2 linked regions of the Drosophila melanogaster genome follow. The protein of the gene in region 1 interacts with the protein of each later gene in a pairwise test. Each region holds a gene or a part of one and is shown on either strand. Other genes may lie near its edges.

Region 1 (7,268 bases):
AGATTGGTTCTGCCTCCGGGAAACGGTGGTCCATTGTCGGAGGTGTAGATCACGAGTGTCTGATCTGCCACGCCGGCTGCTTCTAGCTCCTTCAGCATTAGACCAACTCCCTGATCCAACCTCGAGATGGTCATGTACTGAGCAGCCAGCTCCTGACGCACTACATCCGTGTCGGGCAGCCAGGCGGGCACGTCCAGGTTACGCCAATCGTAGTAGATGGGCTTCCAGTCGGGTATGCTGCCCATTCCCTCCTCTCCGCTGCCCCAACGCTCACAGAATTCTCCAAACTGCGGGGTGATGTGGCCACAACGATGGGGATCATGGAAGCCGACCATCAGGAAGAAGGGTTTCTTTTCGTCCTTGGCCTGCTTGAGAAACTGCCTGGCATACTCCTTCATCCGGGTGATGTTTCTGCCAATCTGGTTGATGGAATGCTGCTCCTCTGTTTGCTCGAAATCGAAACGGAAATTGTTGGCGGCCCCAACATGTTTCTTGCCAATGATGCCGCTCAAGATCCGTCCGCCACTTTGATCACGGATTAAATTGGGCAGCGATCCGGTATCCGGAAGAACATTGAAGTTGTGCACGCCCTGATGGAGTCCATACATTCCGCTGGAGTGACCAGCCTGGCCGGTGAGCAACTGCGAGCGACTGGGACTGCAACTGCTTACCGAGGTGAAGGCGTTGTTGAAAAGCAATCCGCGTTTTGCCAGTGCGTCCAGATTGGGAGTTTGGCAGAATTTGTTCAGATAGGCGCCCGATTCGAAGCCGGCATCGTCAGCCAGAAGCAGCAGGACATTCTGCGGGCCAGCGGAGCAACCAGCAATTAGCCATAGTGTAAAAATCCACTGCAGAAATTGCATGTTGACATAAATCCAGTTCCAAATCCAAATTAAATATATTTGAGAGCGCAGAACAAAGCGATTCTTCAGTCGACGTCAGCGTACTGAAGTACGGCTCAAGAGAGCCGCATACTTTTAAGTGTCCACAAAGCCTCTCATTTCTCCGTTCTCCGTTTAAGACGCATTCAATTCCATTCCCAGTTCCAGTTTTAATCTCATCAACACAACAAATGCTCAGCGGGAGCGCGCCTAGGTACATTCACTTTGCCCGACTTTCTTTGGGAGCGGTTTGACTACAGTCAACACACCATACAGAGAACTAAAGTGTGAGGGTACTGTACAGTCATACGATTAAAGAATCATCATAAATATCAGTGAGATATATCTGAACAGTATAAAAAACAGCACTTCCACAAAAAAAATGTTTCATTTGAAATTTAAAATGCTTTAAAAACACTTTACATTTATAAACCATTAAAACACAGCCAATGAGCTGTTATAAAACATATGTACATTTAACTAGTATATATTCAACTGTATTGTATTGTAACATTTTGTGTACTTTGGTAAATTATAACCCGCCATATAATAATAAGCAGTATTCTTTTGTGACAGACATGGAAATAGATTTAAATCACCAAGAGTTTGGTTTGCATGACTCTGGCCATTAGGTGATCAACACGTTGTACTTTCTGATTTTATCTTGCGCCATGGAGAAGATAAAAGCAGGAACAGTGTCGCCAAATGGAACCACGTCAGGGTGTCAAGGCCAATCGCAAAGTGCAATGCGATTGTATGTTTTGAAAAATTATAAATCTACAAAACAAATGTTCGTTCTGCTTGTTTAGGCTTTTCTGTGTCGAAATGCGCAGTTTCTTCCAGCGACTAAAGAGTTTTCACATTGGGTGAGCTCATCTTATGTAAGTGGACAACCCCCAAAATGAATCATCGGCCGGCTAATTTAAGCCAGCCAGCCAGCTACAGTTTAAGCCACCCCCTTTTTGCCCTGCACCGGTGTGAAAATTTCGCCCAACATGTTTAACAACACTATGAGTTTTCCAAAAGTTGTGGCAACATGTTGCCAAGAGATTTTCGCAGTCTCTGGCAACAAGCCAACAATACGAATCAGCTGGGCCAGACTAAAACAGCTGTTGCAACGTGTGGCAAGTGTTGCATCAGCCAATCTCAACCAGCGAGAGAGAGTTTCACTCACGTGGAGAGAAAGAGTGCGAATCTGTATTGTTTGTTGTTGCTGCATGGCAGGCTGCCAAACCAGTTGCCCTATACCTTTTGGAGCGGACATAGGTGACATATGTAACCATAAATACTTACATTTACATTAAAAATCCTGTGAATGATCATATGAATATAAATGAATATTTAGGCGCGAAAAAATACGCAAAGTATTGAACTATACTTAAGTTTCGCGGCTTTTTATTAAATACCAGTTTATTAACCCTTTGTGAGCAAACATAGTTGCTATTACTTACAACCTTAATATCTACGTTTCTAAATTATCTGGGTGCAGAGTAAAATTTATTCTTTTTTTTTAGCTTCTCTTATCTATTGTAGCCAATTTAGACCGAAATGCTATCTGTGCAATTTTCAGACTGTCGCTAGCCAAATAATATGAACGGCTATGAATAATCTGTCTGCGTTTTGCACAGTTTATTGAAAATATATATATTTTTTGTTATATTAACTTAACTGTGTTGTATGTAATACTTTGCCTCAAGTTAATAGCACATGGAAATTTTTTTTTTTCAGAACTTAAATCAGTTGATGCTAATGCATTGTTTACACCTTTTTCAGCTGCTTTCAACCAGCTAAGGGTTTTAGAGTAGAGTAGTATCTAAGAAGTAGAGGCACCCACTTATCCGAGTGGCCCATCCTCCGCATCACAAAAATAATGAGAGAAAAAGATCCCCGCGTGGAAATGTTTTGGGGGCACGGCCATAGAAAATAGACACAGCAGCTGAGAGAGCGCGTGTGTGTGAATATATGTGAATATATATTGGTGGTGGGGAAAGGGTATATGGACGGAGCGGTGAATGAAACCGGCAACGACGTCAGCAAAATTATATCAACCCCGGCCAGCGGCTGCCGTCCAGTGCTCGCAGTTGAGTCAGTTAGTAACAATACTTCGTCGCGAACAGAACAACAATTCAGTGAGTCAAGGCAAACGACAGAGCTTTCGGTGTGCAAATCAGCGTGGAATTTGTGAAATTTTCGATACGTGTTTTAGAATCCCATCTTAATGGCATCAAACGCTGAACCTCGTTACAAAGATATCCTATTCATAGAACAGTAATTTCTTTTCGTGTAAAACGTACCAGATAAACTCAACTTTGAGTGCAAAGTTCAGAGTGATTAACAGCCTGAAAAACATTTGCGAGAGACGCAATAAATTGGCGAAAATTAAACAAACAATTTCTATATATACTTCGTATCTCGGTATCTCAGATAACAGTTGTATCTAGATGCTATATAGATAAGCGCTTGTGAACACGAACACTTGACGAGTACATTAAGCATACGCCCGATCTACACAAGTGGTATCACTGAAGCAACAGCTGACCGTACCAAAAAAAAAAAAGAAAAAAAAAGAGAAAAACACTTCAAAGGCATTTTGCCCCAATATTATGTTCGTTCTGCCTGCGGTTGGTGCAACACTAACAGCAACAGCAGTGTCGAGAAAAAGCGGGAAATCCAACATCGCGTCGCCTAAGAACGTCATGCAACATTCGCCTGTCGTTGTCTTCATGTGTGTGCAACATTCGCAGCAGCAGGTTCCCATGCTCAACAACTTTATGTGTATGCGTATGCGCGGCTGGCATAACAATAAGTTTTATTGCAACAATTCAATCAATATCGAGACCTCCACGATCGGCACCGGCACTGGTGGCACTACGGGCACTAAGATCCTACGACGCTCCAAGTTGCTACGAAAGAAGCGTGACTTTAACCGCCGTCGCTTTAGTCGCCGCACTTTCTTTTGAAACCGATTCGAATAAGTCAAATAGTCACCGGAGATAAGGAGCAACAAGGATCAAGATCATATTAGTGCCGTCATCATTGGAACCTGCTCAACGTGGCAGCAACATGATGGAGGGTAAGCAACTACTGGCCACATTTCTCATTTTCCCAAAGCCAGCAACATTTGTTGCCACAACTTTGTTGCTGGCGGTGTCATTGACACTGGGTACACTTCACGTCGAGTATACATAGATAGATGAGGCCACCTACCTATAGGCCTATAGTAATCGTGAACTTTTGTAGGGCGTTGTTTTGATAGGTGTTTTGATTACATGTGAAAACGTGACGCTTAAAATAATAAATTTATATGGGGTTTCTAAACCGGATTCTGTCTTATATCTTATTCTATATTATTAGTTAAGTAACTAGTCTTAAATTTTGTATCTTTAGGATGATTACTAAATAATTAATAATGGTGACCTGTTGAGTTACAGACATTCATGCATATATGGTAGGGAAGATACAAAAATCTTTGGCTTTACTAATTTAAAACTTTAGAGACTGAGCACACCGAAACAGCTTAAAAAAACACATTTTTGGATATGCCAGACAACTGCTTGTTGCAAAAAATCACTTTAAACTTAGTCATACACTTTTAGCTACCACCACACTATATTGTATGTACATATGTAGATCACGTTTCAGATAAAAGTGATAAGATAAGATAATCAAATCGAACAAGGAAGGGGCTTTGTAGATCAATTGCTATTCATCTACACATGCAAAACGCCCTACCTTTCCATTCCCATTTCGTGGAATCGAAAAATGCGCACTCATCGTGAAAAGATTGAACGAATCGCTACGTGTTGGCCATTTATTTTGTTAATTTGCCAACTGAGGGCGTCCATTGTTGATGGTCGTCTTCGATATTCCAAGAGCTCGTGCCAGTCGGTGCGCTGCGCAAGATTGTCGTTTGAAAGTCACATATTTTTGCACGCATATGTGGACTGGCATTTAAGCTCCTCAGCTTTGGGGGCTAAAATCAGAGGACGTGGGCAAATAATCAAAATGACCCCCCCCCCCCTTGGTTATATTGTATTTGTGTCTGCAGATCAGGCCCATTACAAATATCACATGATGACAGTTTTTGCCAACCGCTGAAGCTCATTTTGCGCTTTATATTTATCAGCATGACTCATGGATTTCTAAATTATCAGTTAAAGCTGTTATACATACATGCATACGTACGTACGCAGAGCTTTTCGATTTCGAGAATTCAACAGCTTTTATCTGAGCACACATTCAAAGAGAGCTTACTAATACCACGACAAGAAAGCTCTTCTCTTCAAATGTGGGCGAATGAGCTGTACGAAAGAGAAAGAACGTGAAGAAATTTCCCAAGTTCACATCTCAACGATTTTTGGATTGTCGTGGGGTTCACAGTCTATTATTTTTAAAGGCCAAACAATCTAGAAAATGAATGCATTTGCTCTGAAATTTAAAAGACTTCCAACTAAATCACTCCCTTGGGCTAATGCATACATACATACATACATACAGATGCGTACATATATTATTATTTAGTATAACCATGCATTCTCATGCCTCGTTCTTTTGTGTTTTTAATTTTGTTTAAAGTTCTTGACCCAAAGAATATAAGATCCCAAAACAAAATGATCTTGAAAAGTTATTTTTTCAATGAAAAAACTTCTGCAATATTTTATTAATGCTAAGGGTATGCATGCAAAGTATTAGAATTACCTCAAGTTATTATAATTTCTTATGAACTATAAGTCTAAGATAGCTTAAGTACTTTGTGCAAAAAATTTCTTGACAGTGTCAAATCTGTGCAAACTTGGAAACTTAGTTGTTTTTCTCGTTCATTGTTAATAGTTTTGTTATTATTTTTTTACATATTGATGAAAAAACCTATGAATAAATAGATATTAATAAAAAAAATTCATTAATTTTAAAAAGAGGTCTTTATATATTTTTGCATTGAAAGTCAAAAATACAATTTATTTTCATTGTGCAAAATGTATGTATCTAATTATTTAATAGAAATGATATTGTGATAGGTCGGTCCACCCAAGCAAACGATTATGACTCATGCCTATAATATATCTCACTCATGAATACTTAGTCTCACTAAAATGTACTTTGCAATGTTTGGTTCGGTAAAGTACATACTTACATACAAATATGAAAAACACCGGCCGGCTGTGACAAAGAGCCTCCAACTTGTAGCTCATATGAAAATAGTATATGCCGGGGAAATTTTATAAAAGCAGGCCATCTGGCGGCAACAGGGAATTTTAGCGCTCTCTTGCTTGCTCACAGCGAACGCTTATCTGAAATACACCGACACACACCGATAGGGAAAAGTATCTGGCTATGGCAAACTGGTTTGTGGGAGCTTTTTGAATTTCACAACGAATGAAATTCACAGTGCACAGCAAATCCAACAGTTTCATTTCTGTTCGCCACTAGCAGCCGTTCAAAACGTAGTGAATACTCCAAGCAGTCGGTTGACTCAGAGATCGCACAGTGAAGTTAGTTCTATAAAATACATATAGAATACATATAACCAAGGAAACCCAGTGTAAAGACTTGGCAATCGTTGTTGTTCATCGCGGAACAATAACAGTGGACATTTGTCGCTATCCCAGAAAGTAATCCTTTATATCCGAGCAACGGCCGGACTTGAAGCAATACACAAGTGGTGGTGCCAGGAACCACCCAACCTATTGCGTAGCAGAAAAGACAAGTGAATTCGCGGTCGGGTTTTCCAAAAAAACCAGACCACCAATCTTGAAGACACATTTACCGAATTGATGTAAGTAGTAGTGTAAAGCAATCAGCATTCCATATGCTAAGTAATATAGATATACGTATAGTAGTAGTGTAGTACATAGAGGGCGCTTTTGTTGTTTTTAACTCGCGAGTCGCCATATTGAATTACTTAAGTGCACTGCTGACGTCACTTGCGTCGAACAAACGCACGCATACAGATACAATCAAACTTTATACTGTCAGGGGATTTTTGTGGAAACATTTAATTATAGGGCGCTTCGAGTGATTAGATTTCTATATATTAGTGTGTAATTAGCCAAAGCTCGCGTGTGCTTTTCGGGGAAATTTTCCACCGAGGTAATTGCTTTCTGGTGTTTGTTTTTTTTGCCGGCTCCACGATTTCTAGATATCTGTTTGCGATAATGGCATAGCCACCCGAACGTGTGCCTCAATTATCAAAGTGACAACTAGTGGCTAACGGTGTGCGGGGGGGGGGGTTGCCAACTGCTGATTAGACACCCCCTCCCCCCACCCGCAGCGCCCATCTGGTGTATAAAGACCTGTTGCCGATGTGGCCGCCATATTGTTGTTTTTGCCTCTGCTGTTGTGAAATTCAGAAAGAGCTTTTCGCAGCACCAGCCGCAAAAAAAAAAAATG
Region 2 (5,784 bases), on another chromosome or scaffold:
ACGCTTCTTCCCGGAAATGAGCGCACCATTCTGTTGTAGCAGTCATCGTCGATATCTTTGTTACCATAGTAGCGATTATGGCGGTTGTAAAGGCTATTATGCTTGCTATAGAGACGTATAAGCTTCCTGACATCATGATCCTCCAATGAGATATGGTTTCCATTTGTCTCACTCTGATTCCTCGCCCGCCTGTCTCGTTTGCCAAACAAAAAAGAGAGAAATCCCCCGGATTTCTTTGTTTTCTCGATGCTATTGGGTGTTTTAGGTGGATCTAGTGATGCCAAAGCGGGCTTAATGCCTCCTGCTGACTGACTGTGGCTGGAACTGATCCTGGAGGAGTGGAGATGCATTGGCGTCACTAGGCAACTCGAAGCGGAACGCTTGAAGTAACAGTGCCTGTGTTTTGGTTCCATCCTCGGCGATCTGGCGCTTCAGTAGCGTCACATTCGGGTTCACCTCGCTTTCAACGGTCTTTGGGTTCTTTAATGGCAACAGCATTATAAATCGAAAAAATTTTGTACCATTATCTGGAAATATAACTTTTGTAATCCTGACTATTTTTTTTTTACTTTTTTTGGGGTGAATGTAAGTGTCACTGTGAAGTTTTTTCAAATGCTTGGAATTATATACCAATTTTTGCAAATTTCATAGACAATATGATTAACTTAATATTTAAAATATAAGTCTGACCAGGATTTTAATATAAGAACATAAACAAGATAAAAAAAAATTTTCAAGAATTTCAACAATTTCAAAACAACCACGCTTTTTAACGGTTTTTAACGAAATACTGAATCAGCTGTTCCTCGCTGAAAACTTTGCAACACTGCGCGAGAGAAAAAAGCGAGAGCAAGGCCGTGCAGTAAAAGAGCGAGCGAGAGCGGCCAAAACAACCAAAATAAAGTTACGTGAAATTATAAATAAAAAATAAGGAAATACACGTTCAGCTGCCGACCAGCCAAATACAACAAAGCAACGCTGTAAAAACTGAAAACACATTTCAGTTTATTTCGCCTCGTGCCATGTGAGCAACTTCAAATTGATATTGAATCGGAATCAGTGTGCGGGTGGTGCTAATTAGCGGAAGACGGCAATTTATTGAACGCGAAAAAAGCCCCACAATCCAACTTCCATTTCGACACGAAACCAACCACCCGCCAAATCAAATCGCCGTCGAGTTGTGCATCAAATGAATGTGCGAAAAGTGCAGTAAATCAATGTTTTTGTGAGTGTTTGAAAGAAGAAGACGGAAGGAGCGCCCACAACAAAAGCAAAGAGAGCAAGACCTAACGGGACACCCGAAACCAAAAACCTATCGGCACAACGACACTTTCTCAATAGCTATAGTTTTAGTTCATATGTTCATATCTCGGAAAATGGACGAGGTCTTTAGCCTACACATGGAGAAATTGGACGTTTACGACGGTTAGTATCTAATTTGCCGGAAGTTCTACTTAAACGTAGAACATATGTATATGATGGAATCTGGGTTGTATTTCTGATTAATGAGTTCATCAACTTTCAAGGAAATAATAATAGTAGTAGTAGTTGTAAACAGCTGAAGTATTGGGTATAAAATAACACTGATATGGGTAAAATCATAATAGACACTTTATTTGATTCAAGACTCGCATGATTTTAGCTGTATGAATCATGTCGAAAATAATAGAAATCACTATTACTAAATATAGATAATTTTAAAATTTAGATTCAGTGCAACATGGATACAGTGATTAAGTGTTACAATATAAACAAAAGTAAAAGAAAAGTACAACAAAAACAAGTATTTGGTGAGAAATGATAAAAACTCACCAATAATGAAAACCATTTATGTAGGATTTTAACAAACACTGTTCTCGTCTGCATGAGTGCTTGTCTTTGTAATAGAATTCGAGCAATTGCACCATTTTAATCGAAAAACTAAGATGATACACATGGTTAACAACCATGGGAAATGGCTTAAAAGTATGAAAATATAAGAAGGTAAATCAGGAGAAGCTCCTCGTTAGTCATTGTCCTTGGGATCGGGATCTGGTTCAGCGAGAATCTCCTGGATGATTCGATGGCCGTCCTCCGTTTTCTCACCCTGAATGATCAGATCTCTAAGCGTAGATATATGTTTTTCACTCGTCTCGATCTGAACCTTAAGAGCATCGTTTTGCTTCCTCAAATCATCGATGCGTTTCTTACGTTCCTCGGCCGATTTCTTGGTCTTTTCGCGTGTGCGCTGAACAGCCTGTTCCGAGAATAGTAATAAATCAATAGTGGGCATCTATTTTTGGGGACTTCTGGGGGCCACGGCGCCACAGCAACATGTTTCCCAATCTTTGCTCTCTGTTTACATCCAAAACTCTTAAACTTACCTCATTGTTTTTCTTTCTTTTTTCTTTGTACGCTGGATCGTCTGTGTGCGGACTTAATGGCGAATCGCTATTTTTGCTGGTCGACGCGGCAGTTCTCTTTTTGGCCGGCATTATCTCCGTGATAATACTGATATTTATTTAGTTCAAATTGGATCGCAATCGGACGGAAATGCAGAAGAAAACACAGCGATGTATGCGTTGTTTTGTTGTGAAATTACACGATAAAACAGCTGTTCATTAGCCCTCCCAGTGTTGCAAAATGCGCTGCCTACACTGCCCAGCCAACAAACAGTTAGCGGTATTATTTAATTAAATTAATTGCATGTTGAAAATCAATATTAAAACTCACCCAAAACCATAGCCATGGAATGCTATTCAAAAACTGTCAACCAGACACTTTATTTGGTTTGCTCAGACTTTCACTTTTTAATTTCTCAACTGTTTATACATTTTATTTGTAAAGACTGATTGCTTGTACGTAGATGTAGTTTAATGCAATAAAATTAAATGAAATGTAATACGTAATAGTCAATAAATGTTTTAAATAAGCAACAGTTAAAATTACCAACGTGTTTTTTCCAACACTCCACCCAATAAACAAATTGTGTCAGAAGTATTGGCTGCCGGCGCTTTACAGTACTGGATTATTTGCAACCGGCTTATTATTGCACAAAAATCTAGTGAAATGTCCTCGCCAGCCCCCAAATCGCCAGAGCTTTCGGATAAAAGCAAGAAATACGACAGACAAATCAGGTGAGGAGCGTTTTAATTGATAAATTCGGAAGCATAGCACTGATGACACCTATTTAGGCTGTGGGGAGAGCATGGACAGACGCTATTGGAGGCAGCCACAGTATGTTTGGTGAATGTTACGGCCGTCGGCTGTGAAACTGCCAAGGGACTGGTGCTACCCGGTATCGGAGGCTTCACTGTGGCCGATGGCAGCACCGTCAAGGAGGAGGATCTGGGCAACAAGTCGGTAGACCATCACACATTCCCTGACCACCATTATAAAGTCACTTTTTCCGTAGTTTCTTCCTCGATTCCAGCTATCTGGGCAAATCTAAAGCATTGGCTTGCATGCAACTTCTCCAGGAACTCAATCCCGACGTAAATGGCGATTATGTCGACGAGAGTGCCGACTTTTTATTAGCCAACAGACCGAACTTCTTCGACAGCTTCGATTTAGTGATTGCCTCCAATCTCAATGAGCAGACTTTGCTTCTCCTGGCCGAACGGTTATGGGAGCTTAACGTTCCATTAATCTACTGCCGATCGCTTGGCATGCTGGGCACAATACGCTTGCAAATACGGGAACACTGCATCGTGGAGGCGCATCCGGATAATCGACAGTTTGATCTGCGTCTGGAGCATCCATTCGATGCTTTGCGGGAGCATCTCGACGGCACCGAGGTGACCAGTAAGGTGCCCTGGTTGCTGGTTCTTCACAAATACCTTAATGTGTGGCAAAAACAACAAGCGGATGGGACTCAAACGCCTCGAAATTACAAAGAGAAGAATCAGTTGAAGGAGACCATTAGAGAGGAGATGAAGGCGGATGAGGAAAACTATGAAGAGGCCATCAAGGCGGTCAATACAGCCTTTGGAGCGGGACAGGTTCCCAAAAGCCTGAAAGCCATATTCGAAGATGATGCCTGCGAACAGTTAAACAAGAAGGTTGCCCATATAATCTGAATTTATACGTATACTTTACTTTCATTTGTTTTTCTTTTTTTTTTACAGAGCAACGTCTTTTGGATCATGGCCAAGGCCCTAAAGCACTTTGTGATACATGAGAATGAGGGCCATCTCCCTCTGCCTGGCGTTCTGCCGGACATGACTGCCAATACGGACTCCTATATCGCCCTGCAGCACATCTACCGCCAACAGGCGCTGCAAGACGCCGACCAGGTGTATCACAAGTGCCAGGAGTACCTTAAGCAGTTGGCTTTGCCTGCCGACAGCATTGATGAGAGAAGTGTGCGTCTCATTTGCAAAGAAGCAGCCGGACTGGCGGTCATAAGGGGTACACGCATTGCAGAGGAGTACGAGAAGAGCAGTCGCCTGCTACCACTGGGTAAAGATCTATCTATCTATTTTGGAACAACCTTAAATGACTTACCTTTCCTTGCCTTCCAGTTGAGGACAACGAGCTGCAGGGCAACCTCACGGCATACAACTTTGCGCTGCGCGCCTACGAGCGCTTCCTCAGCGAGTGTGGCAACATTCCCGGCGAGTGCATCGTTGAGCAGGACATTGGACGTCTGAAGAGCATTGCCGCCAAGATGCTTAGCGATTTGGGAATGCACGCCACCATCAGCGATGATGTTCTGCACGAGATTTGTCGATATGGCGGAGCTGAGTTGCATGCAGTGTCTGCTTTTATTGGTAAATATTCCATTTGGTTTATGCGTTGACCGATACTATATTCTGCTAATTCCTTTCAGGTGGCTGCGCTGCCCAGGAGGTGATCAAGATCATTACGAAGCAATACAAGCCAATCGATAATACTTTTATATACAATGCTATAACCACAGAAAGTGTCACATTGAAGCTATAAACAAATTGTATTTTCATAGAAATTGTACGTTCTTTTTATTCTGTGTCCCCAAATAACTAATTAAATTAGTCAACCAATTGAAACCCCTTCTATAATACTACTAACAAATTCGATTGCTATATTTACTTGGCTTTCTTTACAACTGCCGAAACACAGTATTTTTGAGCATAGAACCTACCGAACATAAAGAGAAATGGCACCATATAGGCAGCTCCGATTGGCGTTAACCATTTTCCGTACTCACAGCCCCGGAAAACTAATTGTGATGCCCAAAAGAAGATAATGGTAAACTGGACCAGCTGGAGGCCAGTTAAGTAGCGCTTCCACCAGAGGAACCTCTGGACTCGAGGACCCAGCACACTCAATGCATAATAGCTGTACATAATCACGTGCACAAAAGAGTTTATCATGCTTGGAAAAAAGGCTGCATGGAATACGAGATATTACTACTAGAAATATAATATTTTTAAGGTATATAAACTCACTTGAACCCGTCGGCAGCCATTTGACATAAGTCCAGCAAAACAAGAACATGGTGCTATGGTGGTACACATGTAGGAAGCTCAGCTGGTTCCATTTGTGGCGCAAGATGAAGAATGCCGTGTCTACGAATTCCAGTATCTTTGAGATGTAAAACCACCACATAGCTGCCGCTATCTGCATCAGATTTCGAATTCTTAACTTCTCAATTCCCAGTTGCTTCGCCAACTCACCCGGATTTCATGTGGATCATGGCTCACCCGACACTCCTGACATGCGAAGTTGTAGCCAAGACTTAGTGAAGCCGTCAGGAACTCCAGGCAAATATAACCATTGAGAAATATCATTGCCAAGCTGTGACAAAACAAGGGCACTCTCAAC

Evidence for each region. The genes of interacting proteins can lie anywhere in the genome.
Region 2: the proteins of Xrp1 (region 1) and Irbp18 interact in a two-hybrid assay, tested with the Drosophila melanogaster proteins (2 studies listed by BioGRID, with this or other methods).

The regions. Positions count from the first base shown.
Region 1 is NT_033777.3:18,911,972-18,919,239, forward strand, and holds the start of Xrp1 (Xrp1), read left to right. Parts: upstream 1-2,996; 5' UTR 2,997-3,954; intron 3,955-6,288; exon of another isoform or gene 6,289-6,654; intron 6,655-7,268. Other genes in the region: Sgsh (N-sulfoglucosamine sulfohydrolase), read right to left, coding at 1-863.
Region 2 is NT_037436.4:11,095,637-11,101,420, forward strand, and holds Irbp18 (inverted repeat binding protein 18 kDa), read right to left. Parts: upstream 2,551-5,784; 5' UTR 2,506-2,550; coding exon of another isoform or gene 2,475-2,505; coding exon 2,364-2,474; intron 2,237-2,363; coding exon 2,006-2,236; 3' UTR 1,810-2,005; downstream 1-1,809. Other genes in the region: CG46439 (uncharacterized protein), read right to left, coding at 1-413; CG33947 (uncharacterized protein), read left to right, coding at 1,377-1,425, 2,456-2,505; APP-BP1 (beta-Amyloid precursor protein binding protein 1), read left to right, coding at 3,049-3,116, 3,174-3,338, 3,395-4,040, 4,107-4,440, 4,503-4,751, 4,811-4,923; Elo68beta (elongase 68beta), read right to left, coding at 5,046-5,347, 5,409-5,580, 5,637-5,784.